Linked DNA regions of Drosophila melanogaster. The protein of the gene in region 2 interacts with the protein of the main gene of each other region in a pairwise test. Each region holds a gene or a part of one and is shown on either strand. Other genes may lie near its edges.

Evidence for each region.
Region 1: the proteins of Tango6 (region 2) and C15 interact in a two-hybrid assay, tested with the Drosophila melanogaster proteins (one large-scale study listed by BioGRID).
Region 3: the proteins of Tango6 (region 2) and FoxL1 interact in a two-hybrid assay, tested with the Drosophila melanogaster proteins (one large-scale study listed by BioGRID).
Region 4: the proteins of Tango6 (region 2) and und interact in a two-hybrid assay, tested with the Drosophila melanogaster proteins (one large-scale study listed by BioGRID).

Annotation. Positions count from the first base shown.
Region 1 is NT_033777.3:21,497,247-21,505,110, forward strand, and holds the start of C15 (C15), read left to right. Parts: upstream 1-2,739; 5' UTR 2,740-3,011; coding exon 3,012-3,184; intron 3,185-5,007; coding exon 5,008-5,423; intron 5,424-7,864.
Region 2 is NT_033779.5:18,965,823-18,974,013, forward strand, and holds Tango6 (transport and golgi organization 6), read left to right. Parts: upstream 1-3,205; 5' UTR 3,206-3,276; coding exon 3,277-3,337; intron 3,338-3,395; coding exon 3,396-5,597; intron 5,598-5,657; coding exon 5,658-6,160; 3' UTR 6,161-6,182; downstream 6,183-8,191. Other genes in the region: Nak (Numb-associated kinase), read right to left, coding at 2,431-2,593; L2HGDH (L-2-hydroxyglutarate dehydrogenase), read right to left, coding at 6,338-6,725, 6,780-7,637, 8,095-8,191. UniProt on the Drosophila melanogaster protein: May be involved in protein secretion and Golgi organization.
Region 3 is NT_037436.4:4,014,852-4,022,819, forward strand, and holds FoxL1 (forkhead box L1), read left to right. Parts: upstream 1-4,026; 5' UTR 4,027-4,242; coding exon 4,243-4,613; intron 4,614-5,545; coding exon 5,546-5,801; intron 5,802-5,857; coding exon 5,858-6,328; 3' UTR 6,329-6,428; downstream 6,429-7,968. Other genes in the region: Mul1 (mitochondrial E3 ubiquitin protein ligase 1), read left to right, coding at 6,684-6,788, 6,853-7,436, 7,495-7,702. UniProt on the Drosophila melanogaster protein: Transcription factor. Coordinates the placement and migration of various organs during embryogenesis, including the salivary glands, hemocytes, germ cells and Malpighian tubules.
Region 4 is NT_033779.5:9,759,725-9,766,899, reverse strand, and holds und (uninitiated), read right to left. Parts: upstream 3,532-7,175; 5' UTR 3,272-3,531; coding exon 3,166-3,271; intron 3,065-3,165; coding exon 2,252-3,064; intron 2,131-2,251; coding exon 1,703-2,130; 3' UTR 1,562-1,702; downstream 1-1,561. Other genes in the region: ppk18 (pickpocket 18), read left to right, coding at 1-289, 338-488, 548-741, 795-1,121, 1,175-1,284, 1,341-1,543; Taf11 (TBP-associated factor 11), read left to right, coding at 3,726-3,994, 4,057-4,378; zf30C (zinc finger protein 30C), read right to left, coding at 4,759-5,335, 5,401-6,779, 6,847-7,175.

The DNA.
Region 1 (7,864 bases), on a different chromosome or scaffold from region 2:
TTATTCCAACTAATTTGGTTTTACCTTCGGTAACAATTATAAAATTATATTTTTTCAGACATTGATTATTAGGAATATTCAGCTCTGAGAAGTTAAAACTCCAAAAGTACTGTAAAGATAACAATTAGATTCCAGAGGTTGGTTTTATCCTGTATCCTTACCCTATAAAGCTATGAGATTGGAGCTCCAAGGTTTTAGACCAAGCGGGTACGCCAAATCGGTGATCCTTTAGGTGGGTACTAAAAAAATATCCTACAACTAAATATAAGGATTTTCACAGAAAGTCGACAAGCAGTTAACTGATTTAAAGTTAATTGAATTTCACCAATAATCTGAAAGACACAACCTATTCTCCCAGTGATTGTGTAGATACACTTAGGCTAAGTTTGTTCTGGTTGTTGCTGTTTTGTCTGCCACCCGACTGCAGTGCGACGCTGCATACTAATTTTCCACAGCCCTGCCACCGCCCATCGCCCACCGTCATCTCGTTCTCATCTTGGAATCGGAACCACCACCACCAGCCTCTTAGCCATCTCCTCCTGCCCCTGCATGAATGCGATGTGGTGGTCTGAGCCTCATCATTTCGTATTCATACCAAGCACCAATTCCTCGTCGTTGCTGCCGCTGCAGTTATTGTTGTTGCCTGCTATTAAGTGAAATAAAAGTAAAAATGCAATAAAAATGTTGGCCGCCTCTCGTTTTGCATTAAAATTGCATTACAATTGCCGTGGATGGGGCGCTGTTGTTGCTATCTTTGTTGCTTTTATTACGGCAATTGTTTCTGCGTTGTTTCTGCCCAAATGAAATCCAATTAGCCGACTACAAGGCCTACCAACCAACGACTGCCAGCAGCAGCAGCAAAACAGCAACAATGACATTGCGAGGCGGTACGAAGAGAAATGGAGTTCGCCTCGTGACTTTTTCCAGAGTCCTTTCCACTGCCAAGTGGTGTGCGTGTGCTTTTGTGTGCCTTGCCAATTGAATATGCAGTAATTGCCTTTCTTCATTTTTGGCCATGATTTTTTGCTCGTGTCTGACACAGAAACATGGCCAGTTAAGTGCAGAAATGAATATTTATAGTCGTTACTTCTAGGATCGGACTCCGTTTAAATGCAAAGTGAACGGTTTGATTCTGCAGCCCACTCTCAAGAAAAATTGAATAATAATCAAATTATGAATAATGATATTATAAAGATAGGTAAAGATATGTAGATATAATTAACTAACATAATTTAACATTGAACAAAAAGCTGCATATGCAGCTTAAAACCAGTGATCAATATGTACATACATTGGCACTCTTTTAAATCACAGAATAGTATTTGTGAGGTACAATATAAGACCTTAAAGCAAATCATGTTTAAGAGTAACCAAACTGTGCAAGTAGAGATATAGTAACCCTTTATTATGAAATATAGATATAATTATCCTCTGACCAGTAGCGAATCTCCTAAGCGTAGTAATGCATTATCCAAGTTATCGCAAATAGGATTTGGGATTTTCATAACATTGCCTTATTCTGAAGGGGTTCACATTCCACATCTCGACTCAGCTATCTCAGCTAATGAAAACGGAGTACGCAATCGCTTCTGGCCACACACACGCATTCCATCCAGGCCGGCTAGAACAACACCTGAAACTGAGACTAAGACTAGGACCGAGATCCCGGCCAGCGATGAGCAGTAACATGGCTCGTGCCCAAGAAAAACTGTCAATTAACCCGTGGGGTGAACTTGTGGAAAATGCCAGAGCTGCTGCATCCACTGCATGCCGCGCAATTTGCATTCGCATGGCCGGGGCAAATGGATTGGATTCCTGTGGCTTCAGCTCGAGTCTGCTTATCGCAATCGCCGCCTGCCAAATGCCAGGCGATAGCGCGTAGAACTCTTGGCGCTAATAAAGATCTCAGTAGTAAGCGGTGTGAGGTGGTGAGGGGTGACATTAGGCGGTGGTGCAGGGCAGCCCTCCTGGCCAAATCCGCTGCTTTGTGAACTCAAGCTGACAGAACGCTATTTCCAATTGTGCTATTAATCTGCCACATTTGCACTTCCGCGGAAAAGAGTCGGCGGGCGGATGTGATCTCTTTCGCTCGTCAGTTGGCTGACTCGCTCTGCAGGGGTGATTTGCGGGCGAGCGAGTGAGACAGAGCGAGGCAGAGTGGTAACGCTTGGCTAACCTGAAAATAGAAACAATCGAAATAAAAATACATTCTCTTCATGCTCTCGTCTAATAAAAAACCCCAAAAGCAAAACGTTTTCCATTTAAAATGTCGTCGCAACTGCCAGCGGGAAGTGGACGTCGAGAGTGGCAAGTGTGTGGGGCAAACTCCGGCCAGCGGCCAATGGCGGTTGGCCGAGGCCACGCCCCGTGGCTCAATTACCGACCAGTGCTGCCCATCGGCGGGCAGAGCGAAACCTGTTTCCACGAGCGAGAGGCAGTCAGGCGCATGTGCGATCAGAGCGGGATGGATGGCTCAAGGGTGGACCAACCAGAAGAGGCAGGTTGCTGGTATTATGGTAGGTTAGGTTCAAACAAGGTGGCAAACTGGCTCTTAACCGAAATAGGAAGGAAGTCGGCAGCGGCGTCGACGTCGGGCAACTGGTTTGACTTGTTTCCGGCTCACTCCAACAGCCCAAACCCACCAGCAATCGGCAGAGGCAGCCAAGTCGGCAGAGGGCAGGCAGAGCAGCGGCCGTCGGCACAATTTGATTGCATTTATGAAAAGCGTTTTCGCCCGCTAGCACGCGTCCGCTCCCAGCTCGCAATTCGCCATCCGTAATCCGTAAACTTTAATCCGTAGACCGTAATCCGTGAATCCAAAGCAGTTCTCAGTTGGAATTTCCCGCAACGGGTAGTGCTTAAGCGCGGAAACTGAATTGAAATCAATCGGACGATTAGTGTGTGCTTCGCGGTTGAAACACTCTACATCTAACTATTAAGAGAAAAGAGTGCCCAATAAGATTCGAAAAGTGCAGTGAGCGAGCTCCAAATTGGCGCCACTAATTGCCAAAATGTCCAGCCACGAGGAGGATGACCATGAGCACGAGAACGAGCACGGCGAAGAGGTGGAGGAACAGGAGATCCACGTGGATGTGGACTCGGACTCGCGGATGTCATGTGGCAGCGGATCCGATGTGGATATGGACGGCGGCAGCTGCTACGACGAGTCCGAAACGCCATTGAGGTGAGAAGGAGAGCTTTTAAATAGAACCAGGAAGTAGGAAAAATGTCCCAAAAATATAGATATTATCAGTATAGATATACCATAAATAAGCAGATCTTCCAATTACAATAAGACTTCTACATATACATACATATATTATTTTTTTAACTAGATTGTGATAAAATGCTTTGGCTTCCGTACTACTTACTTAAAACTGAAGAGGCCTTTTTTTTTAAAATTCATTTTGGTAAATATTTTTCAAATATGAATAACGTCTGAATTTATGTACGTTGCAAAATCGAACAATAAAAAATATTTTTGGTTTAATTGTATCGTAAATAATCTGCTACACTAAACTTGAAAAGAGATTGCATCTCTATTAATAATAATAATGGCTTTACTTTCAAATTATACGATGTACAAACATAATAATTGGTCTGAAACAATTCATTACGGAAAATCCCCAAAAAAAATATATTAAAGAAAAAGCTCAGTTTTTCGTTTACTCTTGATGGTTATGATCATCATGCAAATTAATAAATATTTTTTTGTAAGTACTGGGCTTGATTTAGTTGGCCACATTATTCGTTAATTACTCATAAGTCAAAATTTAGATCGACAGCAATTTGATCGACTAACTGAGAGAAAAAGATCTATAAGCTATAGTTATAATAGTTGGCATACAGTCTTATTTTATTGCCCTATAAAAGTCAAACAAGTATTGTGGCGGAGAAAAGCTATTTGCATTTGTTATTACGAGCTCATAACTCCCACTGTTTTACGATCTTTAACATTGTCACTCATAATGCTCACAAATCCTATTTTTCGAATCGTGGCTCAACGCCATTGAAATGCGTTGATGTTTAAGCCCCATTGTCCGCTCTTACAAATGGTCCCATTTTCCAGCGACAAAAGGGGATAACAAGATGCCAGAGCATCCAGCAGACCGTGTTAACTGATCCCATTCAAGCGTTTGTGCGCTTAGAAGAACAGTGTGAACAAACCTCTTAAACGCTAATGAATTGACCACAAAGCCACCAAAAGAATCAAGTCGAAATGTCCCATAAAGTGCCAAAGAAACTCCCTGAATTTACATAGTTCACGGATGGCCAGGGTTTCCAATAGACGACGACGATAAAACGCACATTAGTAAGGCGCCAAAAACGGGCTGTGATAAGACATTGGGGTCCATTTGGGGCTCAATCTGGAGTTGGATCTTCGGCTTGAATGCCGGACAAAGACGAAATCGTTTGTCGGATTAACATTTTAATAGAGATCGTCATAAAAATGCCATAAAACCCGCGTTCCAGCGAATGTAGATCACCAGATAGCAGCAAGTTTTGGCCAGTGAAATAATATGTGTTTGCTCATAACTTTTGATATTGGAAAGTGTCTGTGTGTCGGTGGTTGGCGATTTGAGATCATTGTTCCGATACAATTCCATTCCTGTTCCAAATGGGTTTTTACTTTTTGGATTTATAAATTAAATGCCGTGCGTGACTTGTTTTCGGTGCGTCAGTTGATGGCATTTGATGATTTATGGGCGCGTATTAAATGCCTCTAACGGCCGTCAGCATTTGCATAATTACTTCATTTCCAGCCGCATTGCGTATACGCAGCGGTGGCCACACGGGTTCTGCATGTCATGTCGTCAACTCGGCTTATCCGCTCGCGTGGGCTTTTGGTTAGTGGTTCCGAGACTGGTACGCACTGCAACAGACTTAATTATAGTCAATGTTCTCAGGCTTTCCCGCTTATCGGGCGACACATTTTAATGAGCCCGCACCTCCAGAGGGCTTCTTTCCCTTCGATTCTGATGTCTTTTCTCCGGTTTTTATTCCCAGCGAGTCCCTGCAGTCGGAGCAGACGCGCTCCTCGTCCAGTGAGAATCTGCCCTTCAGCATATCACGCCTGCTATCCAAGCCCTTCGAGACGAGTCACCACCACCACAACAACAACAACCACCTGCTCAGCAGCAGTCCGGGCTCCAGCAGCAACAACAACAACAGCGGCGAAAAGGGCGAGGAGAAGGAGCTACTGCAGCAGGAGGACCACGACCTGGCCTATAAGCTGGCCACCAGCATCGCCAACTCGACATACGGAAGCGCCGCAGCACTATACTCGTATCCGCATCTCTATCCCTCAGCGGCCGGCGGTCATGTGCTACGTGTACCGCCCCAGAGAACGCCGCTCACCTGGGCACTACCGCCACTGCATCACGCGGCGCTGGCACATCAGGCGGTCAAGGATCGGTTGGCAGGTGAGTGAATAGCAGCGAAGTCAAGAGGGTTTGCCAAATCCAACCCATTCGGGGCCCCCATGTCGGGATGGCCCATGTTCGCCGAGATCTTTCGGGGGAGCGATCCTCCAATGACCCGCGGTGGCAATTGCTACTGTTCCCCAAATAAGCACGATCAGAGAAGACTTTTAAGGCAACATGCCTATCGGCATGTCATTGTTGGCCAACACATTCGTGCACCAAGAGAAAATGTGGCATTTGAAATAAAAGAATTGGTAACATTAAGAATAAAAATGTTATATATGTGCCTACATAACGCGTAGTTGGATGCATTCAATTGTGCAATAGGGTGTAGGAACATAATTTTAAACTTCTTGATAAAACATATTTTTGTATATTCATTGTTGAAAATAAGGTGCGAAGAACGTTGTCTAATGGTCTAAAAGGGCTTACTTACATATTTCCTTATAATATAATTACGATGGTCTATTAGATGGTATTTTCTGTGGGTAAGAAACAGCTTAAGGCTAGAACACAGGTCTCATAATACGAATTTTCGCTCAGTGTACACTCACTCTGGTGAGCTTGGGATGCTAAAGTATAAAAACATGTTTGCCTTCAAATGCGCAATCGCAGCTTAAGTTAAAAACTTAACGCTGAGCCGCCGCCCAGAAGCGACTCAGGAATGAGATGCGCCTTCTTATTTGCATGCGCATGCGCAGTTGAATTTGTATCTGTATCTGTCGCTGGTCCTCTGAATCCGTATCCGAATCTGTATCTGTATTCCATCTGAATCTGCAACTTCACGTGCAGCTGGGTCTTCTGGCTCCCTTTTTGTTAATTTGTTTACATTATGAGCTTCACTTGTAGCTACAAGCGATGGGCACAGCGCGAGCCCTTTGAAATAATGAGACGGCGTTGATTTTATTACGCCTCGGCAGCCGAGGGATCTTCAATGGTGTGGAAGGGGGATCCCGATAGGGTTCGGATCCTATAACTCATAATATTCGGGCCTTTTTCGGCCTTGTGATGTGGAAAAGCTGCTTAGGAGCAGCGCAGCCCGGCAATCTGACGGGCTTTTATGGCCGACATCCGCCCAGTGGTTCTGGTTAGCTGTTTGGCCTTTTTCTTCATTTTAGTTATTTTAATGAGCTGGTTTACATGACTTTTTAATTTCGCGCTGCGCTCGAAAAGGAATTAATTACGCATTGGGCGGTCGCTGGGCTCAGCGAGTGAGTTTTCTGTCCTCGCCGGCTTATTTATCGCCGCATACCGCACTTCACATTTGAGTCCAACTGACATGGTCAGCTTTTAATTAGCCAGTCGAATGCTGGCGATCCGAGGGCTGCATATCCATATCCATACTTGTGTGTATATCCGCCGAGGAGGGGCATTCGATCGAGTGGATCGTATAGAATGGAATGGGATCGGATCAGTCACTTCGAGTCGACTATTCCACCTGAGGGGCACACTTATGAGCCCGCCGGGTGATCCAAGCTTCTGCCGCTCGGTTTCGTTTTGTCAACATCTTCGTTTTCGTCTTGGTCTTGGTCTCGGCCAACGTCTGTGTCTTTTTGTGTTTATTGTGTCGCTTGCCTTGTGGCTGATAAGCTGGCGCCTTGGCTTTTTTCATTAACAAGACAAACGAGCGTCCAGGGTGCGGATCCGATCCGATCCGATCCGATCCCTTCCCGCGACCAAAGTGCTCCTCTCTCTTCCGCCGGGGCCCTTAGCGCCATATGATTAATAACCATCGCATGTTAATTCTCGTTATTTTTTGGGAAACTACGTCGCAGCAGGCGCCAATTACTTTTCGGCCATGCACGCCCTAATGCAGTTTCATAACAGCCATAATAGCCTGATTGGAAGGGAGTTGGGCTTTTGTCACGACACTTGCCCACACGAATGTTACCAATCAATGGCGGAGTAGGATCTATAGGCTAGTGTATAGAAATTCCCTTTACTAGGGAGCTCCTTTAGTAATTTAGTATTTAATATTAAAAAATGATGTAAACTCCGTGAGACTGTATACTAATTTGCCATTTAACAGTTCCCATTTGCATGCGCTTTGATTGGTTACGTGCTAGTCTTGAGGTAACTAGTATATAACTAATCCAAATCACTAGCAAAGGTCAGAGTGCAGCACTTTTGAAAAGAGACCAAAATAGCGGAGTGGGAGGAAACCAGTCCCAGCCACAGGCCGTCATCAATAATGCATGCTAAAAGCTTTTTGCATTATTTTAGGTATTTCTGGTGAGACTTCTCGGCCGCAGCCACACACTCACCGCCATCTGTATCTTAAAGATACTTGTGTTAGCTTGTGCGAAACATCATAAATAAGCTCGGTGGAGCACGGTGGAGTGCCGGAAAGCTATAAAATTATGCTTATGCGCCTTAACCTCCCTCTAAGCGGATATGTTACATCCTTGAAGGATACACACATCTGAGCTGCGGCAGAGGGG
Region 2 (8,191 bases):
ATTTGTTTATTAAAAGGAAATATGTGTCACATTTTTATAGCACACGTATCTTTGGCCATTCCTTCCCACATAATTTATGCCATATATCTACGTGATAATAATGGAATTTCTTTACTATAAACATTTCACGTTCACAAATATCCCCCCGTGGTGTTAAAATAGTAGAGGGTACCCGAATTCGAGTGATAGCAGTTACTGTCTGGCCATGGAACGATTTACACATGTTTTGCCTAACAGGCCATTTGCATGAGGTTTATTTCAGTTTATTGCAAATAGAATTTCAAGTAGAATGCCCCCACATTTCAGCCCTCTCCACCTGTCGCTTTACGCCACTTCAAAATGTACGATAAAAAGGCAACGCAATATAAACTAAACTATTGAAGGTCACGTACAGAAATAACAACAATAACATGCGACAATAACAATACTCAGCGGGGGAAGGCGGTGGGGCGGCAAAATAAAAAGATAGGAACAGTGGTCACTAAGAAAAAAACATAAAAATATATATTAGATATAAAATGAAATGATATTAGAAAAAAAAATGATCTCAATACATTAGATGCATAGACGATGCAACGATTAGGAGAATGTTTTAATATTGAAAATATTTATGGAACATTTGCTGTAAATGCACACACCATTTCTCCCTGTGTAGGCGATAGAGAGAAGTGAATAGCGGACCAGCAAATGTAACCATTTTTGCTCGACTTTGTGAAATTATGGCGTCAAATGTTAATCAATGCTGAAGGTTGCAACAGCAACAAATCAACATTGGCAAAAAGTACAGCAACAACATCCAGTAATAATAGTATGAAAAGCAACAATAACAATGCACAATTGTAGCGATGCGAGAAAACGCGAGAAGGCAATTCGAAACGCAAACGAGGGTAGAAAATACGTCTGAAGGGGCGTCAACTGCAAGGTGGGCAGTAAGCGGTTAAGGGTGGGGGCTGAGGGGTTAAGGCGGGAAAGCTTCATTCGTTAACCGTTTGTCGCTTAGTCATTTGTAATTGTTGTTGGCTGCTCAAAAATCGAATCAAAGAAAGCAGGTAAATATTGAAGGTGATTAAGCACAGTGTTACTTTGGAAGTATCCAGCATATCGAGCAGTTTAAACTTGGCTATACGCGCATTTTATTCATTGAGCATCTGCAAAAGACTCTATTTATTTTTTCTCTTTCTTAAATGAAATACCAATAGTTACGTTACTGGATTAAATGAATTAATAAATAATATATAATTTAGTTTATAATTTGTTATACTAATTCAATAACTTTAACCAAATAACCGTGTTCGTCAAACGCTCCGCCTTTTTAATTACAGGGTATGCCCGACAACAGCTGACTAATTGCCAGCGGCGCCAGCGCAGCGCAAAACAAAATTACGAATCGAGTCCGCTTGCCAAAAGTATAAAAAGTAAAAAACACTACGTAATGGCTAAAGGAAAGGTGGCGAATGGCTGGCCAGGCGGTGGGTGAGCAATCGTTAGATGATCAAATGTTGGGCGGAGGGTACTGGTGCCAGGCCAACAAGGAGGCACTTGCACTGCAGGATGATGTGGAGTGGAGCACTCCGCATTTCAAGGACAAGGACACAGCACAGGCGATTTCCTTAGGGGCGAACTTTGCCATTTAGCTCGGCGAAAGGTGAAAAACGGAAGACTGTCGGAGACAGTCGGCTGATGAGTGTTGGTCTTGCCGCTTCATTGGCTAAATTAACATAATTGATTCAATTGATTTGTGGCCATGTGTAGTGGCTACGGGAATTCAATGGGTATTCCATGGAAAAACCAACCAGAACCGTAACTGTGTTTGTACAGTCGGGTTTCTCTAACGCGGACACCCATTTGTCACAATAGAAATGCTGGCATTTCTGGTTTTGGCAAAAATAAACTCTTTAAAGACTGACATAAATTTGGACGAAATATCTGCACGCCATTAGAGAGCCGAGTTATGGACATAAATATGTAGTTCTATGCCAAGGGCAAAATTGCAGTTCAATTAGTTGGAATTTAGGTTACAAACCAGTATTTAGTATTCATAATTAATGAAATAATTTAAAATGTTTTACAGTTTTATTAAAAGATAATATATCAAAGTCAGATTTTAGCTGTTTTGAGTTTAACATCTTATACAGAAATTATTGGGAGTAATTTATTTGGATTTAATCGGAAATGCGACAAGTGGTGTCCCCAATTATGGAGGATACGCAGCTGATTTTTATGCTCTCTAGCGCTTTGAGTACGCCCCACATTTGGGAGTTCTCGCGCTGAAGGGGTTTATCTAATCTGTGACGAGGGGCGAGACCGAAAAGCGGACGGCAGGCTACTGCCCACCTGTAAATCAGGCAGGTGATAAGCATAATCGCGGGCGACGTGTTGTAGGTAGGGGAATGGGAGCACATATATAAGAGTGTATATATAGTCGTCTACCTTCTGCCAGGACATCCTCCACGGTGACCGTGACGCGTCCCACTGTGAAGACCTTGCCCACGAAGCTGTTCTTCTCGTTCGAGGACGACGAGCTGCTGCTGTTGGGCGGATTCTCCAGTCGAGAGTTCTCATTGCGCTCGAACTTAGACAGGATTTTCTTCATTTTCCCCCGATTTTCACTAGAAAATGTTTACTGCCCCAGCAGCACAACACACACACACACACTCGCGAGCACACACGCACACTAGCTAACACGGTCTTAATTGCCTGCGCGTAGGTGTTTTTGGCAATTTTTAATTTTGCGAGGGCGGCTGACGGTGGGCGGGGCGTCGGTGCCGCTGGCCAATTAATCCACTTTCGAGTCGTATCGGCTAGCTGAATAAAGCTATTCTGCGCACTTTGTGTTTTTGCATGCACACACACAATGCAGTGGAAAAAGAAAGTTGTTCGATTTTCCTGCTGCTCTCGAGTTGTTGGGCCAGTGTGACCAGGGCGCTTTGCTGCAGTCAGATGCGCAACCCGCGGCTGGTGCAGCCGCCTATCGATATATAGATAAGTTGGTTGCAATCTCGAAATTCTGAAAACAAGGAAATCCCCGTTTACAAAATAGGTTTTATGATAACAATTTTTTGTAATTTGATCCAATTTAAAAAGATAATATGGTTCTACTTTCAATAAAACATATAGCTACAGTTGCATTAAACTATCGCGCAGTTTTAATTAGCTATGCTGCCAACATCGTGTTTCCCTTATCAATATGTTATCGATTGTGCTGGTGCAATTGTAAACAAGCATCTCTAGCAAATGGTCGCTAAATTCGCAAAATTGTAGTTTGCTGGGATAACAATGATAAATACGGCCAAGTACTTTGCTCTTCTAGAGAGTTTAAGGTTTAGTAAAGCTCTAGGTAAATTGGTTAACATCATATAATAATTGTAGTATCCCTAATACTAATATTTCGACAGCAAATACGGCGAATAACTCAGGGACTGCCGAAGCCTTGGAAATCAACCTGCGAATTTTGGAAAAATATGCTAAACTCGAGATTGGTCAGCAATTGCATGAGCTGTGCCTGGAATATCAGTTAACAGACGATCACGAATCTAGTATTGATCCCGATTCGGATCGTACTATATGCTATATAATAAGATTGCAACATGTGCTACATTCGATCATGAGGAACATTAATTTCCACAGCGACGCCAAGGAGGATCTTATTTCGGTAGCGCACCTGAAATTGTGTATCCAGGCTTCCCAAGAATTATCATATTACTCGCTTCGATGCCAGCTACATGAGGATTTCTACAAGTCGCCCATCTTTTGTGAGGCTCAGGGGAAAATCAAAGCTAACTTTTCATTGATGCTTCTAAGCATTCAGTTCTTTATTAATCTACTGCATATTCGACAATACCACATAGCCAACTCGATGGAGCTGGTGCAAAGGGATCTACTGGCGGCCATTGTGAGTCTACGTGTGCAGCAAGACTCTCCACTGCTGGATAAGGCTATAGCCTACCTCTGGCAATATGAATCCAAAGCAGATTTCTTTCGCAACATCTTGCTTTTTAAAGCTACGACTCTCTGCCCAACTCTGGCCCAATTATTGCACCGTCAACTCTTAGGAAAGCTTCACTTACCCCAAGGATTTGCTAGTCTTGTTGAGGCCCTGCATCAAAATCCCAATGTGAATTCTTCCAGAAATGCGGAAATTGTGGCTAGTATTGTGGCCAGAAAAGGATTTTCTCAGTTAGCGCAAGAGAAGATGGTTCTCCAGGTGCTAGAATATTGTAAGTTCTATCTGCAGAATGCGGACAAAATGTGCGCCGGTGTCCTATCGCTCAGAAGACTTTACGATTTAAGTGATACAAATCAAAAGCTGATAAAAGAAATATTATTCAAACACTGGGAAACGCTTTGTAACCCAGAAGACATTATTAATGGCCTTATCTTAATGGATCACCAGGAACTGTGCAATCGCATTCTCTTATGGCAGCATCTCTTTTGTTCTTCAACCGTAGCTTGCTTACCCAGTAATCTACTCGTTCCCTACCTTCCTTTGCTGCTCCAACTCTACGATGGCCTTCCAATGGAATTACCGGCGTCATCGCAGATTTCTGCCATTATTTTGCGTTGTCTGGACAACAGAGAAATGAAAAACGAATTACCTGCGATACTCCAGAAGCTGTTTAAATGGGAAATTGAGAAGGAACCTCCTTGGAAGTGTTTAAACCCACGCATTATAATCCTGCCTTCCATGAACACAACTCAAATTCAGGTTAAAGTAGCTCACAAAGATCATCTAGCAGATCACGATATGGGCAGAATATTGCCCGGTCTACTCACATCAAGCTCTCATCATTCCCTCACCTGCAAAGTTTTCCTCTCTCTTCTGGGCTTCATAGCTAAACAGATAAATGATAAATCTTCAGCCAGCGTAGATTTTATTTCATCAGAAGCAGAGCTCAAAGACTTTCTGCACTCCAAATATCAACTGAAGCTAGATTTGCTCATTGCTTTAAACCAAATGGTAGCCCACCAACCATTAAGAGCTCAGCTATCACAACATACCAAGGAGCTTCTACATATACTAAAAGACTTGCTTGTCCACCGATCTAGAGAGCAAGATACCACGGATCAGATCCTACTTCTCGTTCTAAACCTCTTGCAGGAAATTCTTGAGGGCAGTGAGAATATTCAACTTTCAGAGGCCTGTAAGGAACTGAAAGAACAATTGCACCTGTTGGGTACTCGATCTTCCAACCCTCTTATCCAGCAATCTGTAAAATCATTGCTTACAATAATTCACGGCGCATGGCGACCAAGTGAGGCTGTTAAAATACAACCTTTTCAAAGAGCTCGGTCCTTGATAGAGGAAAAACAATCCCACATGCAAGTGTATGGAATTCAGATGATGATTGATTTGCTGAAAAAAAGAGATCCTGCTACCTTAGCGCAGGGTCAACTTATCATAGCGTTAGCCCTGACCACTCTCAAGGATAAGGAATCCTACACCTTCTTAAATTGTGTTCGGCTCTTTGTGTCGCTTGTTCATGTGATGGAGTCCGATGTGCTGGACAAATTGAGTGATGAGTACCTATCAGAGACGGCTCACTTAGACTACCGCCTCGTAGTGGGTGAAGCTATTCTGAAAGTCGCTCAGGAGTTGGGTAAGCAATGTTCTACACAGCTAAGAATAACTCCTAAACTTTCATACTAATCCCATCCAGGTCCTCTTTGCTTTCGATACAAGGCTGTTCTTCTCAACTGCTTCATGTACGGCTCCCGGTCTCCTGTTCACGAATTCCGGATGTCAGCCTTTGCCAATCTTGCCCAGCTTTGTCGCCTTTTGGCCTTTCAAGTGCAGAACTTCTTCCACGAGTTACTCCAACTTGTTAATAGCGAATTAACCACCGGAGGATATGTTCCCTCTAAGCGTGCAGCAGTCCTGGTCTTAGCTGAACTATTAAACGGCATGGAGAACCTTCTGGATTACCAGGAAATGTTACTCCCCATTTATCGCCTTTTAAAAGCGATTGAAGCGGATGAATCCTGTGATCCTCAAATGCGTCAGCATGCTGCAAACGGTCTGAAAATTTTAAACAAAAAGTGCACAAAACTGATACAATCTGCCTTGGAGGAGAAATCATTACAGAAGCAGATTAAGGTGTTGGGCATTAAGGACGATGATTCACCTCAAAGAAGAAACCGACATATACTGGAACTGAATTAAAGGCTATCTTAGAAACCTACACAAGTTTTAATTTTGTTTTATACACAATAGATCAATATTACAGTTTCGAAAAGAAATGCGATAGTGGCGAATCAGTACAGACATTACTGACATAAAGGCAGAACAGAAAATAGGACTTAGTTTTGGACTTTGGTTACATTATTTGGGATAGAGGCATCACTTGCCGATAGAGAACTCATTCTCGATCTTGTCTGCGATCATCTTGGCAATGGCCAAGCTACTAGTAGCGCCCGGCGATGGGGCGTTTCTGCAGTGAAGCACTCGCTTGGCTAGCGCTCCCGATCCTTGTCCGCGATCGAAAACAAAATCGTCCACCAGATTGCCATCCAGATCCATTGCTTGGGCACGTACTCCAGCGGGACCACGCTGGATATCGTACTCCGTAATATCCGGGATGTACTTCTGCAACGCCTTGATCTGCAGGTTAATGAACCACGATTTGGACATCTCGCTGAGTCCGAAACCGATGTACTTGCTCGCCATCTTTACGAAGCCCGGATAGCGCAGGGCGTCGAAAAGCTCGAAAAGATTAATGTCACCCCAGCTGGAAGAAGTGAAGTGTCAGACAAGTTTAAATATGAGCTCTAAGAAGACTTACGTGTAACCTTCGCGTTTCAGAGCCAGAACGGCATTTGGTCCCAGCCAGATAGATCCGTCCATTCGCGGCGTAAAGTGAACTCCCAGGAAGGGGAAACGTGGATCCGGCACCGGATAAATATTACCCTTGACCATATGCTGTTTTTCCTTGGTCAGCAGCAGATACTCTCCACGGAAAGGCACGATGCGGGGGTCTCTGGGGCATCCAGTCTTCTCAGCCAGCAGGTCGGATTGCAAACCGCCACAGGTTAATACGTTCTTGGTACGAACCGTTTGACCGGGCTTAGCGCCATGGATGGTCACTGGGTAGTCGGTGCCCTCCTTGGTCTCGGTAAACTTGCTGACATTGAAGTCCAGGTAGATATCACCACCGCACTGTTTGAAATCCTGACCATAATGCTCGGTAACCAATCCCCAGTCAACGATACCAGTGTGCGGACTGTGGAGCGCCATCACTCCCTGGCAGTAGGGTTCGATCTCCTGAATCTCGCTGCCTTCGATCATTCGCAGATCCGGTACGTTGTTGGCAATGCCACGCTTCTCCAAATCCTTCAGCAGCTTCACTTCTTTCTCATCCGTGGCCACAATTAGCTTCCCGGTTTTCTTGTACGGGATCTTTTTTTCATCCAGATAAGCGTAGGCCAAATGCATGCCCTCCACGCAAAGGCGGGCTTTCAGGGTTCCAGGCTTATAGTAGATGCCAGCATGGATGACGCCGGAGTTGTGGCCGCTCTGGTGCTTTGCCAGCTTGCACTCCTTCTCCAGGACAGCCACTTTGAGGGATGGATGGCGCAGGACAATCTCCCGGGCAGATGCGGCGCCGACGATGCCACCACCAACGACAACCAGATCATAATCTCTGAGGGAATACAAAACATATCAGCTAACAGCCTCAAAAATTAAATAAACTTAAGACTTCTAAAGTTTTTAAAAGTTAGAAAGATGTTTGTATATCCGTTAGAGTAAAGAGTGTGCGGGCACGTTTTTGATTAGGATCATCAGTCAAGTCGATCTAGCCATATCAATATGTTCATCGACTGTCAGACCGCAAGAACGTCGAGATCTTGGGAACTAATAAGTAAGATAAAGGCTGCAGATTGCAGTGAAAAGACTATGCTATGCAATTAAGAATACAAAAGTAAATAGAATATACATTGCTTAACTAAACATGATTTTAAAAGCGCATTCTAAATGAAAAGAAGCTTACTTAGCTCATTTGGAACACCTAAATGATATTCTGCAAACAGTGAAAAGATTCTTAGGATCGGAACACCCCCGAAAATGAGAGAACCCTATCGTAATCTCAAGAGACTTACCCGCAGCTCGACGAGCTGTGCTGCGATCTTTTGTGGGTCGCTGTGGATTCGTTGGGCGCGGCCACGCCCACATTGAGTAGGCTACGCCGAAGTCCCT
Region 3 (7,968 bases), on a different chromosome or scaffold from region 2:
GGTGGACTGGAGAGAGGTGAGTGGAATGGAGTCCACGGAATCGGCGGCTCATTAGCACATGGCACTCGAGGAATACCCCGTGGTAGTCCACACTTACTCATAAATGCCATAGATCTTTTCGGGGGCCACCAGCTGGCCCACTTGATGGCATAAACAGATTGCATGGGGCTCGCTTTGAAGTGCGAATTACCCGCGGGGTCAACCGCAACATGCATGTACGTATGTACATATATACCTCTTTATAACTGAACAACAGGGCCGTGAAAATGGAAAAGTTGGGGGAAAATGGATGAAAATGGGGGAAAGATGGGGCTTCGGTTTCGCTTTTGGCCGTAATACATCTTGGAAATCTGTTTAATGGGCCGCACGGCCACTTGAGAGGCTTTTTGAAGCTGTTGCTATTTTAATGTGGTCGATATTCTAAATTTAAACAAATAAACAAACATCCATTGCGCTGCTGTTGAAAGTTTATTGTTGTTAAACCTGTGCAGCAAAACTGTTTGATATTCCTTTACGTTTGCCCGGTTGAGTAGCCGATAATTTGGCACTTAAAACGTGCGAAATTCATTCACATTTCCATTTCCACTTGATTCATTTTGGCCGGGAAACCAATCAATGTGAGTGCTTGGTTTATGTTTTTTTGTTTTCCACACCCCGCCTCACCAAAAACATCCGCCCAGCTTGGCTTTTCCGACCGACTCCAGCCACCTCAATCCGCCTAGAAAATCGAAGAAAACTTTTCCTGCGGCTGGAAATCAATATGAGTAATACGAAATAATAATCCACGAGATTCCCGTGGTTTGGGGGCCACTCGAAAGCCAGCCATTCTCGATTTGTGTATAGATTGCTCTTTTTGAAGATGCCAAATAGCTGCGAAGGCGAAGTTATCACTCAATTTATAGGTTTTTCAAGTGCAAATGAGGTGCTGTCAGGCGGGAAATGCTACAAATGATTCGAGTTATTCGAGTGAATTAAAGTTGGGCAATTTGTAATCTCATATTTTAGATACAATTAATTCTTGTTTTCTCAAACATATATATAAATTCTTGGTTATTTAAAGATTTCAAAGAATATTTACCTTTTAACTCCTTCAGCGAACATTAAAAAAAAAAAACCAAGAAACCGCCCAAGTCTGCAAAACACAAATCAATTGCAGTTGCCAACAAACTCAATGGCTAAATAAATTATGGTTTTCGCTTACCGCTATCGACTTCAAACCCGCCATTAATTAACACCAACCCTTTTGGCCAAGGAGCTGAATCGAAATGGCCGCGATTACTCGAGTGTCCAACACCTGTTACCAACAAATAAGGAGCGCAGGGTGGAGTAAACTACCGCCGTCACAGGTCAACAACCAGTTTATTGCTCACGCATTTCATTTCAGAAATCTTCTGGCGTTCCGAAAGTCATCATTATCATCGAGGATGCTGGCAGAGATTGGTGGAAGGGGATGCTGGAGATGGAGCTGGAGCTGTAGCTGGAGCTGTAGCTGGTGCCATGCAACTAGTGTCAAGAATCGCATAAATTTCCGATTCCGGGACGCCGAGTGTGCCATTTAATGGCCGGCAAAGGTCACGTTCACACCGCCGTAATGGCTAATGGGCAAAGAGCGGGTCCTGACAATTCAGGTAATGTGGATAATTTGCTGTCAATGATGTGGAACGAAGGGGCCCGGCTCTCTCTGCGGTCCTCGCTATTTGTTGTCAAACAACACGGCAGCGGCATCATCTCGGCATCTACTCCTCTTAATAGTCCGTGCTGCATTTTACGGCGACTATAAATAGGTTCTACTAGATGTTAATGCCTTCCAATAAACGCAGGCTCATGGGGCATGTGGCATGCGGCATGGGGCACCCCATCGATTTTTGACAAATCACCGCTTGTCGAGCACAGCCACAAATCCATGCTGATCGATGATTTGTTGTCTTTGATCTCGGGAGCAAGCCACAGTGGTGTCGAGTGATTAAATCAAATTTTGACAAGGTGTCGACTGGCGGCACTCCGAGTGTATTTGCCGCAAAGTGTGCCTGAAGTTGAAAATCTTACAGTGGAGCTTCATAAACAGGCACTGTACGGGGAGTACCCAAGTACCTAAGTTTGGCTAACAATCTTAACACAGCGGATTTGAAGTAACTAAACTTTGAGTATCTTAACATGCAAAAGAGTCGAGCGATGTAACATGTCGCTTTCTCTCGAGGCTCTACTGTAATGTATCTCAGCTAAATGCAAGCAGTTCACAGCATAAATCAAGCGATGACAACGTGAACAACAACACCGGTAGTCACGCACTAAACTATAACTATAACTACGCGATTACACACAGCGATTAAGTTGCGGTTGGGGAGCTGCGCTGCGACTAAATAAACAGGATCCGAGGCGTTTTATGGCTTAGTGCGAGGGATATGTCAAAAAAGATGCGGTGAAATGCATAGGAAAACATAGTTTCACAACGAAAAACATCGATCGGTGTTCGAAGACGAAATCAGACCAAACCGAGCTGGGCCATAAAAAACAATATTTGTTTCCAATACTATTCCCAGCATAGGTCTAAAAATAAGCAAGCTAAACACGCAGGGCAGCGACATCTTCGAGAGAATCGGAGGACCATGGGCCATAGGATAACCCATTGTTTTATGACCCATTCTCACCAGCGGTAAGCGATCGTAAAATTTGAATAAATCGGGAGAGAGCGTGAAGAATCCTTTGTGGCATTGGCATCATCCACACATGTGAACTTCAATTGCTTCGGGCATTTTGGATTTTCAGTTCTTCGATTTGCGTTCAATGTTTTTATTTCTTTCAAATGATCTCTGCTTTCTACTTGAGAACGGAACGATCGTAAAAATCGAGCGTAGTCCTGTTTGAAATGTATACACAATTGTTTTACGACCTTTTAAGATATAGACCAAGACTTTCGGTTGCATTCGGAAAATTGCGTACTTGACTGCCGCGAGTTTACTCTCGCTTTCCTTCGTTCGCTCGGAAAAGTCGTAAAAATCGGAAGGCAACTGCCACGAGATAGCATGGGATGTCAAGGGACCAGATAATGCCGACTTCTGGCATTATCTTGCCAGCTGCTATCCGGTGGAATGTATAAACGGAGTGCTTCTTGGAATCGCTTTATTTAAATAATGTTTACAAACCAATTGAACTGACGAGTTATCAAAGCTCTTTAGTGAGTGCTATCAAGAGATTTGAAAGTTATAAAATGATTAAACATCTAAATGAACTTTTTCAAGCCAGAAAAAGGCTAAATTAGTGACTAACTCACGCAATGATTACATACATACATATGTAACCTATCATAATACTGCAGTATAATCTTTTTTAATAACTGGGACTAACGATGTACGCATGAGATCCTAGAAGCTTTACATTATTTCCAAAGATTTAAAAATTCCCTTTCAAGTGCCCGTAATTCAAGTGTAAACTTTGCTCGATTTTCATTTGTTGAAAAATCAAAATCTACATATTATTCAAAACACACTGGGACTCTCCCACACTCACTCACACATGGGGAAAAGGTCTTGACTCCGCCCATCGAGGAAAATACAGGCAAATGAGAATGGACATAAATAAACATGGAAAGAGTAGAGAACATATTTGTAGGAACGCCCCCTCAAAAGAGAGATCTGCCATATAACGGGTATATGCGAAAAAGATATAGTATAAGCAAGGATATTAATTAGTAATGATATAATCAATCTAAATCTAGTACTACAAAGTTAATAACTGAATACACTTAAATATTAACAACATCATCTTATTATATTATAACATAATAATCTCAAATATATTATACTTATTTCATATTTCAATTTATTCAATTTCTTCCTTAATAAAATTTAAATTTTTCAAGGAAAATTGTTTTCCCCTCTCTGAGAACTTACGCATGTGTGGATCTTTTGGTGAGGGTGTTTGCATATCCCTATATTTATAGACCAATGCGCTGCTCTCCCCCAAAAACACACACCCATAAGATTGGGATGAGGCATTACAAGTGATCTGCGTATCCGAGTTCATTCATTAGTCGATCGGACTTCTTGGCTGACGCAACACATGGTCCACAGTCGCGCTCGAATCGCCCACAAAATCGGAAGTAACAGCTAACCGGAAAACAGGACAAAAATCCTAAATATCTAACAAGTTAATGTGAAGTGATATTCGAAACAAAGTTCCCGAAAGATACATAAAGAGTATAAAAGAACTTTGAATCAAGTTACTGGGATTTCGTTTTGAAAAATGTTACCCTCTTGCTATGCCAATGGATCGATGCTGCCGGATAATGAGGAGCTGGTCAACTCCATGCTAGCGAATCCGGATTATCTCAGGACCCAGGTGTCACCCAATCCGCTGGCTCCAAGTGCCGTCGGAGGTGCGGGCATGGAGGGTCTGATGTGCGGATCGTTTTCACCGGCCTTCTACTACCAGGGCATCGATAGCTTTCTGGCCCTGCACAACAACATCTGGGGATTGCCTATATCCTTTCTGCACAACTCCCATCGACCGGAAAAGCCTCCTTTCTCCTACATTGCCCTCATCGCCATGGCCATCAGCAGTGCACCCAACCAGCGACTGACCCTCAGTGGAATCTACAAGTTTATCATGGATAAGTAAGTTAATTGAACAATACAAAAATACGAGATCTTTGATAGATCAATAAGTGAATTTAGTTTGTAAATCAGCAAATAAAATTTCCAATTTCTGTACATATATTCTACTAAAGCTCTTGTTTTTACAATCCTACAAAAATAAATGTTCCGCCTTGTCTTAAATCGAGGAAAATTTAGATGACATTCTTGGCTAAATCAAATGCCAAAATAAACAACCGCCACATTCCAAGTATCTGTACAAACCAAAGAAGTTTTTATCCCGAGAAGAAGTTTTTATCACGAAACTTTTGCCACAACTGGGATTAAGTCGGTGAAATATGGAGCATTAATCCAATTTCTTAATGTGAAAATATATAAATATCACGCAGATTACTTGGTAATTATCCATATGAAATGGTTTCATTTATTGGCTTAAATTTATTAGTCATATCTTTAACAAATATTAAAATATATATGTATATATTTCCTTTCCTGAATGAACAGAGTGCATAAAAAATGGCGGCCAGATATATAAAATAGATCGCAAGTAATTTGAAAAACAGGAAAATGAACAATGTGTTTGTAAACTAAATATTTCCGATTTCTTTATCAACATAAACAAATATTATTTTTATTGCTTTTTCAAATCGCTTGATTTAAACAAACCAGCGGAGGATATAGATATGGGCTAATAAGATGTGTATCAACAGCAAGTTTTTCAGATTGTAAAATGATTTTTATATATACAAATTCAGATATTCAAAGCTGTGAAATTCTGAAGTAAATAGTTTTGATAAACACGCATTCGATTTATATTTATAAAATATCTTTTCCATTGTTAATTTATTGAAAATAAAGTATATATGTTTACCCTTTCAAAATTTGATAAAAATGTCAAGGAAATATAGCTCCTAATTAATTAATTAATTGGATAATATCCAATTATTTTTTAGATTCCCATATTACAGGGAGAACAAGCAGGGCTGGCAGAACTCCATTCGCCACAATCTGTCCCTCAACGACTGCTTCGTGAAGATTCCGCGGGACAAGAACACAATCGAGGATAACGACAGTGCTGGGAAGGGAAGCTACTGGATGCTGGACTCATCGGCATCGGACATGTTCGAACAGGGAAACTACCGCCGGAGGAGAACGCGCAGGCAGAGGCACTGTGGCCATCCAAATCGCTACGAGAGGGAATCGGGAAAGGTATAATGCACATCTAAAAACTCATAAACAAATCGAATAAATGAATTTATCTGCAGGATTCAAATGATGGCAACAGTAGTGCAGCAGAGATTCGCTCGCCCAGCGAACCGCTGAGTGACTTCGATATCTTCTGCAACGAGCGGCCCAATTACTCCGACAGGATTACGGATCTGCACAGGCAGTACTTGTCCGTATCCCTGGGCTTCAACAGTCTGTTCAACAACGAGGCCCGCGGACTCCGACCACTGCCCGAGATCAGGGAATGCCCAGACGATGTGGACGCCTCGTCCAGTTCCAGCAAAGCAATGCAAAGTTCCATGGAACTGCACGAGGAGCTACATTCGCCGAGCGCCTTTACTCCTCCTCTCAATCGACGGGAAACCTCGTCATCGGGTGCACCTGTCCTTGCCGAAGCTTTTAATGGCATCAAGGATGTGGTGGATGCACCTGGGAGCAGTCCAGTGGCCAGCAGCAACCGATCAAAGACCACGCTGTTTACCATCGACAATATCATTGGCAAGCCATAAGCAATGCACCTCTTTTGGCTTAATTATCTTAATTTAGTGATAAATATTCTTGCATAAAATACATAAAAGTGATGGAGTTTTAAAATATAGATTGGTTTGCATTGGCCGTTTTCTAATTGCAAATTGAGAATTGAATTGAATTAAGCTAACTTCTTTTTGGCGGTAAATTTCAAATATGAAAGTAGTATTTTAGAGTGACCCTGCACTCTATGGCATATACTAATACGTTGAACTAGTTCCATTCAACAGGGTGAATATTTAGTATTTGTAGCCGTTACGAGCAGCGGGAAACACAGCAACACTGAGTAAACATATGTTTTTGTAGCGTAATATAAATAAAATAGCATAACACAAAATGGAATTTTTACACGAATCCGTTGCACTGGGCGTGGATCTGCTAATACTTGGCCTGTGTGCGCGCGAGTACGTGCACTACAAGCGAACTGCCAAGGTGCTGAAGGTGCGTATAGAAATACTAATGCACGTAATAAGTGGCGTTTATTGAGTGAACTGCTGCTTTTCAGGCGGCACCACAATACAACATCGATGGAGACCTAAAATCGGTGGTGGAGCGGCAGCGCGACAAGAAGATACCATATGCGGTAATCCGGGGCACAGTGACGCCCATCGGGGTGCCACTGAGGAGCTCCCTGGTGCCCAGTGTGAGTGGAGTGCTGCAGATTGTGAAGCTGCATGAGCACAGGGTAACGCGCGGATTCGCCGGCTTCTGGACGGAACAACACAAGTTGCTGCACGAATCCGCCAACGAGATGCCCTTCGAGTTGCGTAACCAGAGCCATGGTGTGGAGATTGTGGACGCCTTGAGTGCCGCCGTCTTGGACGTGGACGTGGTCTACGACAACTACGAGCCCTCCAATCTGTCCCTCTTCGACCATGTGTTTGGTTTCTTCTCTGGCGTCCGTCAGAGGGGATTGCAAACGACGGAGGAGGTGCTCAGAGAAGGCAGCTTCCTGACCGCTATTGGTGAACTGGAGTTGGATGGCGATACTCTGCGCATGCAGCCCTCCAATGAGGGACCGCTCTTCCTGACCACTGCCACCAAGTCCACGCTTATTAAGCGGTTCGAAGATGCCAAGACAACGACGATGTGGGTGGTGCTTACTCTGGGTGTATACTCTTAATACTTTCTACTTAATCCCTTCTAGACTCAAGCTGGTTGTGTGCAGCACCATCTCTGCCATCCTGGTTGCCTTCATTGCCAAGAAACTCTACCGAAAACGAAAGCAGGAGCGGGAGGAGGCCAAAATTCGCGAACGCCTGGATACGGAGCGTCGGGAGCGGAGGGCGAGGAGTCGTCCTCACACTCTGTCCCAGGATCAACTCTGCGTGGTGTGCTCCACCAATCCCAAGGAGGTGAATATAACCCTTGCATTCCTATTGCGAATTTACATAATTCTATCCTCTGAGAATCCGTATCTTGAAATTTAATTATTCTACTTGTATTGATATTTAATGAGTTTACCAAAATTAAGATAAGGGAAATATAATTTTTAATGCTTAGATAATAAGACCCATTGCAGTAAAGTTTTTACAATACCATGACCATAAACCCTAAATATAAGTGATGTAATGTTTATATGATTACTGCCATTATTAAACACGTCCCTTTTTTTCTTCTA
Region 4 (7,175 bases), 9.2 Mb from region 2:
TGCTGGTGCTGGCTCAGTTCTACCTAAACCCCCTCGAATCCGATCATGAACGTTGGAATGCCACGGAGCTGGATCGACTGCATCGGCTGCTCGTCGCTTACCACAACGGCGCTGGTTACTCGGTGCGCGATATACTGAGGGACTTGTCGCCCGGTTGCGGGGATCTGGTGATTAGGGGCATTGTCTTCGGGTTGCCCGTCAATGCCAGTCAACTGTTCCTCAAAAGACCAACATCGTCGAATGTGTGCTGCATATTTAACTATAGACGGCCGAGCTATTCCCAATTTCTGTAAGTGTATCGTACATTATATGGCTATCTAATATACAAGTTTTTAAGGACCAAGCGAGCTGAGGAAGACTCCGAAATGAGAGCTGTTCCAATGGTTGTCTTTGAATCGAATTCCATTTTGAACAGCGTCCAATTTGTGCTGCAGGATACTCCAAAGGAAGATATCACAAATACCTTTCATTCCAATAGTGCTTTTCAAGTGAGTTGATAGGATTCCAAATTGTAGTCTCCTATCCTTTTTTTTGCTATTATCCTTAGCTCATAATTTTCCCCCAAGAGGACTACGCCACCATTCAGTCTACGACTTTGGGAGAGGTGCTGGTGGATCACTACAGCATAGTGGAGATTCCCATCCAGCCGATGTTTTTTAGTTCAGGCGATGGGGTTCGCGGAGTCCCGCCACATATACGACGTTGTTACTATCCCGAAGAAGGCATGCGGTTGCTGAACCAGTAAGTAATTAGAAACCAATCCGCGGAATACCTGGTGAACATCGTTCCTACAGATCGTACTACTCCCTGGACGAGTGCCTTCTGGTATGCCGCATGAAGAGCATGATCGATCATTGCGGCTGTGTATCTCCGCCCTTGACCGGCAGTTCCATGGATCTCGACTATTGTATGCTTCCCGATCTTCCATGCCTAATGAGATGGAAGAGCATTTGGTATGGCTACAGTGACTTCGCCTACCTGCAGAACAAGGAAGAGAACTTGGTCCAGAGGCAGTGCGAGCACTGTTTGCCCACCTGCAACGGAGTTAGCATGAGTATCACCACCAACGTGGCTCCTTTGAGACGGACTTATAATAGCAGTGGTTACTTTACCGGGTTGCTGTAAGTGATGTACCACAATTTCTTTGATAAATAATGAATATCGAATATTTTAGAAAGGGATTGACCAACGAGCGACCATTAGCCATTATAAAGCTTTTCTTTAAACTGCGCTTTGCCCAAGCCACAAAATCTCAAATGGTTAGCAGTTGGGTTGTTCTGCTAAGTGAGTACAGTAAATAACTAAGACGAGTAGTTAAAAAATATTAACTAACCCTTTAGATCGCTTTGGAGGCATTCTCTCGCTTATGTACGGTTTCAGCATAGTCAGTTACATAGAGATCCTGTACTATCTTACAGGCAAAGGATTTGTCTACATATACAGGTCATTCTTATTAGATAAGGAGCCTATCAATCACAACTATTCACTTTACTGGCGTGAGCTCCGTAGCAATCTGCCAAGACAAGAACAACTTCGAAAATAATCTCACTCCGCTTATATTCTGAGCATAATACATTGTATATATAATTCGGTTGGCGCATGCTCACAAAAAATCAACAATAGAATGAACTTATATCAAAAACCGTATATAATGCAAGCCATACATCGCCGAAAATCGGTCACTGTCCAGTTCCTCATCCCACTAGTAGTCGTCGCCACGGGAAACGACTTCTTTGCAGGTGGGTCGCAGCATAATTGTGTGTTCGTACTGAGCCGTGTAGCAGCCCTTAATGTCGCACAACGGCGGATAAGCCTCCACAATGCCCTTGTCGCACAGATCCTTGAGAGCCATCTGGTACTTCGTGGCACCGGCGCGGTCCAGCCAACGCTTGCAGAAGGCCAGGGTGCCGAAGTTTTTGTTGATGGTGCCAAGCAGCTGCTTGGATGACTGCAGGCGCAGCGGCACAAACGGCAGATCAAAGTTCTTCATGTAATGCGAGCAGTCCATATCGTCATGGACCAGACCGCGACCCGTCGAGCCGAACGTCTCAATGGCGTAGAATTCATCCTCCTCCATGCGAGTGGACTCTCCGCCTTTCACAATGGGCACCGTTTTTCCAGCATGAATGCCTGAGAATTTAATTTTAGACTTCATTAAGTGTTTGCACAAATCACAATAAATTTAAACAAAAAATATTAAGGAAAGCATAAGCATATTTAAAATATTTATAATAAATAGATTTTTGCTTACGGTACGGGCTGATGGAGTGTCCATTTAAGTTGCGAATCGCCTTGATGGGATATGTTTTGCCGTCCAACTCGATCTCGTACGACTCCATGACCTCCTGGATAGCGGCGCCGATGTCGCATAGGCGCACATCGATGCCCGCCTCTCTGATGCCCGTGTTGGTGGCCTCCTTGACGGCCTGCAGCAACTTGTCGTACTTGTTGTTGAAGGTCAGGGTGAAGGCGCAATCAATGATCCGCCCCTTGATATGGGTACCAAAATCAATCTTGCACACATCGTCGTACTGCAGTACAGTGGGGTCTCCGGCATTGGGCGTGTAGTGGGCGGCGCAATGGTTAAGAGAGCAACCAGTCGGGAAGGCCAAACCAGCCTCCAGACCATTTTCGCCGATCAGGCGCCGAGCAGTGTTCTCCAGCTCCTCGCAGATTTGGATCATGGTCATGCCCGGCTTAATGTAGCGCTGCATATACTGACGCGTCTGACGATGGGCCTCAGCCGCCTGGCGCAATTCCTGGTAGATGTCCGTGTTGATACGGTCCAGAGCACGCTTCTCCTCCGATGTGAATCGGTCCTTGGCCGTACGATCGTCGGGCATATCCTTGGGCGTGGGGTGCTCCACGATCTCGCCCTCGGGGAAGTTGCCGTCCGGATAAAGCTTAGCAATGGGTATGGTGGGCGGATCAGTCTGACCGCTTTTCTTGCCCTTGTTCCCCTTCTTCTTTGCCGGCTGAGCGGCCGGTGTTGCCGGTTTGGCATCTCCGTTTGTGGTCAGCTCCTCGTCGCCGCCTTCTCCGGAGGCTATTTTGGCTGCCGCTTCTGTGGGCAAGTGGTTAGTTCAGTGGGTGGTGGGTGGTTGAGGCGGAGAGGGTCGTGCAAATGCAATTACCACAGTGCACTGCTCGCATGAGGTCACTCACCTTGGCGGAGCTTCTTGTTGTTCGGCTTGGGCTTCTTTTGTTTCTTGACCTCCTCGCCGATCTCGGGCGTTGCCGCCTCCACATTCAGAGTCTCGGTTGCAGACATTTCGCAGTGCCTTGGTTGCTGGCTGAACGATGAAATAAACGAAAATGTAGCGCGCACTCTTGCCTGGCGATGGCGATGCGGAGAAAAGAACAAAAACACGAGGTGTCAGAGGCCAGTGCTGTAAAACGTGCTGTGGACTATCGGAACCAGTGAATGTTCAATTTGAAATTTACATAATTTGACTTTGAGCACTAATTTGAAGAAAAAAAAAACACTACAAAAATAAAAGTTTATCGAATATTGTATATTTATATATTTATTATTTATTAAAATCTCAAAGCCACCTTATAAACAACTATGATATACCTTTAATATATTTAATCCGATATTTTGAATTATATTCATCTATTATGTGGTGCGGAACTTTTGAGTGTTGCAAAAAGCGAATATGGTGCAACTCCATCCCTGGTTGATTTTGTTTATTATTCGCTGGTGCTTTTCAAATTTCATTTAAATGGACGAAATCCTCTTTCCCACGCAGCAAAAAAGCAACTCCCTAAGCGACGGCGACGATGTCGACCTGAAATTCTTCCAGTCGGCCTCCGGCGAGCGGAAGGACAGCGACACCTCGGATCCGGGAAACGATGCGGATCGTGATGGCAAGGATGCGGATGGGGACAACGACAACAAGAACACGGACGGAGATGGTGACTCTGGCGAGCCGGCGCACAAAAAGCTCAAGACGAAGAAGGAACTGGAGGAGGAGGAGCGCGAACGAATGCAGTAAGTTAGCTTAAAGCGATTCGAAGGGGTAATCCTATAAAAACTATTTTATTCCACTCCAGGGTTCTCGTTTCCAACTTTACGGAAGAACAGCTGGATCGCTACGAAATGTATCGTCGCTCTGCCTTTCCCAAGGCCGCCGTCAAGCGTCTAATGCAAACTATCACCGGCTGTTCCGTGTCCCAGAATGTTGTGATAGCCATGTCCGGCATTGCGAAGGTCTTCGTCGGCGAGGTTGTGGAGGAAGCCCTCGACGTGATGGAGGCCCAAGGTGAATCCGGTGCCCTGCAGCCCAAATTCATACGAGAGGCAGTGCGACGACTGAGGACCAAGGATCGGATGCCCATAGGCAGATACCAGCAGCCCTATTTCAGACTGAACTAGCGAGTCGAGACATTAAGAAATATAGTTTGTAAGGCTGTTAGTCAATATAAAAATACATAAACAAGTAAAAAGTAAATAAATATAAAGATTTTTTTAACAAATCCCATATAATTAATTTTCTCTATTACGAATAAATTCCGAAACGTGTTTTTATAAGGAAATTTATTTTTCTTAAATGTTTTTGACAGGTCCGTATGGCGTTAAACCTTCATCTACATCAATTTTATGTAGCTTATTTACGTTCAATGTTATTTAATTAATCCAGTCATTAAGTAGATATTATTATGTAGTTGTCATCCCATTTGTTGTACAGTAGAATACGCATCCGTTTACAAAAGAATCTTTATTGAGTGGGATCGCTAAATGAATGTGTTCCGAAGTTACTCCATTCGCCGGGCCTCGGCTTGCATGGTCTGCAGTACGATGTGTGGCACCAGGTGTGTGGAGGCGTAGTTCAGGGGCACCGTGGCCAATGGCGCTGAGCCGTCAGATGGGAAGTTGAGCTCCTGTGCCATGGGCATGTCCCTGTCGATGACATCCTGGGCGATCAAGGTCTTGGTCTCCTCGTACTCCATGCCCGCCTCCGGCTTAGCGCCCATCAAGAGTTTTCCGCGCTGCACGCCCATGTACTGGGTGGCCTTGGCATTCAAAGGCAACTGGCCGCAGGTATCGGCATGCACCTTGCGATGTGCCTGCAAGTTGGAGATGCAAGTGAAGCGCTTGCCGCAGTTATTGCACAGGAAACGCTTAATGCCCGTGTGCACGGTCATGTGGGTGAGCAGACTCTCCCTGTACGGATACTCCTTGGGACACAGGTGGCACTTGTACGGCTTGTAGTCCGTGTGGCGCGTCTTCAAGTGCGACTTGTATTGCGCCTTCACCTTGAATGTTTTGCCGCACTTATCGCACTGGTACGGAGTGTCTGCCTTGTGAAGGAGCATGTGCGTCTTGAGAATACTGCGGAAAGGAAGATGCGTTACTAACAGTCTTAGAATAAACATTCAAACACAAATAGTTATTACCCAGCGGTGGACAAATGTTTGCCGCAAACGCTGCAGCCGTAGAGCGGTAGACGGCCGCAGTCAGAACGAACGTGGTCAGAGAGCGATGTGCGTCCGGTGAACTTCTTGCCGCACTTGTCGCAGATGAGGTTGCGCTGCTGGCTGCGCGGCTCCTTCTTCGAGTGGAAATTGCGTTCGTGGTTCTTGAGGCTGTCGTGTCCGGTCATGTACTTGTCGCATTTTTCGCAGTAGAGCAGTTCCTTGTGCTGGGCCCTAGCATGCTCAGTGGCCTGTTCCTTGGTGGCGAAGAAGAGGTTGCAGTAGCATGGGCACTTGAAAGTCAGCTTGCCATCTTCGCCATGCACCTTCATGTGGGTGACCAAGCGCTTCTCCACCAAATAGATCTTGCTGCATATGGGACACTTAAAGACTTCCTCGTCCAGCTTAGCATGGACGTCCACGTCCTTAAAGATCTCTTTCATTTCCGCCTCATTTAACTTGTGGTCGTCGCGCAAATGCTTTTCGTAGGGCTTGCGGATGTGGTAGATTTTTACGCAGTGAGGACACTTCCAGGATTTTTCCATCTTGTTGATCATCTTAAGGCGCTCCTTTAGCTCCTTTTTGCTGATCTTAGCTACGCGTTTTGGTGTACCCGATGAATCGTCAGGCGAGGGCGATCTAGGTGCGTTTCGTTTGCGATACTTTCTCTTGACCACAGGTATCTTTTCCTTTGGCGGTCTGCCCCGCTTTCTTGGTCCGGGAGGTTTTTCCATTTGATGACCCCTCAGTTCTAAGACATCTTCTTCCGCAACCTCCACTAGCGGCACGGCCGCGATTTCGTCTAGTATACCAGCGCCCTGTTCCACCTTTAGGCTCTCAAAGGGCTTTAAGCCATCACCCTCATTGAGCAGCACATCCAGCAGCTTATCCTTTTCGTTGCTAAAGATATCGGTGCTTTCGGTCTTCACATACATGCTGGCGTCCTGGTACTCGAAATCTTCTTCGTCGAAGGCCTCCACCTTGACCATAGCCGGCGGAGGAAGCTGGAATCCGGATGCATCCGCATCGTCCTCACTGTTGTTGGGTTCGAAGTCGGGACACTCGTCGCCCGAGTCCGAGTTCTGGCTCTCCTGCTTGAGCTTCGTCTTCAGACGACTGGCCAGAGGAATGTCATCATCGCTATCTTCCGATTCTTCGCTGGTGGTATCTTCATCATCAGAGTCCCTGTTTCTGTCCTTCTTGCGGAAGGCCTTATGTTTCTTCATCCCATCGGATGAACCGGGCGAATCGTATTCCGGCTGTCCACAGGTGTCGGGACGACTGCGTCGATGCTTGGATAGGTTAGAGGCGCTAGAGAAGCGGGTGTAGCAGCACTTGCACTCCATTGGTCGGGATTCCTCCTAAGGAAGAGAAAGTAATTATTATTAATATATTTACAAACGGTTCCACTGTTTCGGTTCTACTCACCCTGGGTAGCTTTTCCTCGCCACACTTGGTCCTGCAGTGGCGACGGTATGCCTCCTGGTACTTGTACTCCGCGCCGCACTTTTCACAAACGAAAGGCTTTCGCTCCTGTCCAGCTACCGCGCCAGTGACTCCGTGCTCATCCTTTGCATGCTGGGTGAGCTCCTCCTCGTGGCAAAACCGAGCATCGCAGTGACGGCACTCGAAGCCGCCCGGCGGCTGGTGCTTCTTTACGTGCTTCACATATCCGGCTAGGGAGACCAGCGCCTTGTTGCACACCGGGCAGTGCAGCTTGGGTATTCCGTCGGTGGTGATCTCCACCAGGAGCTTGG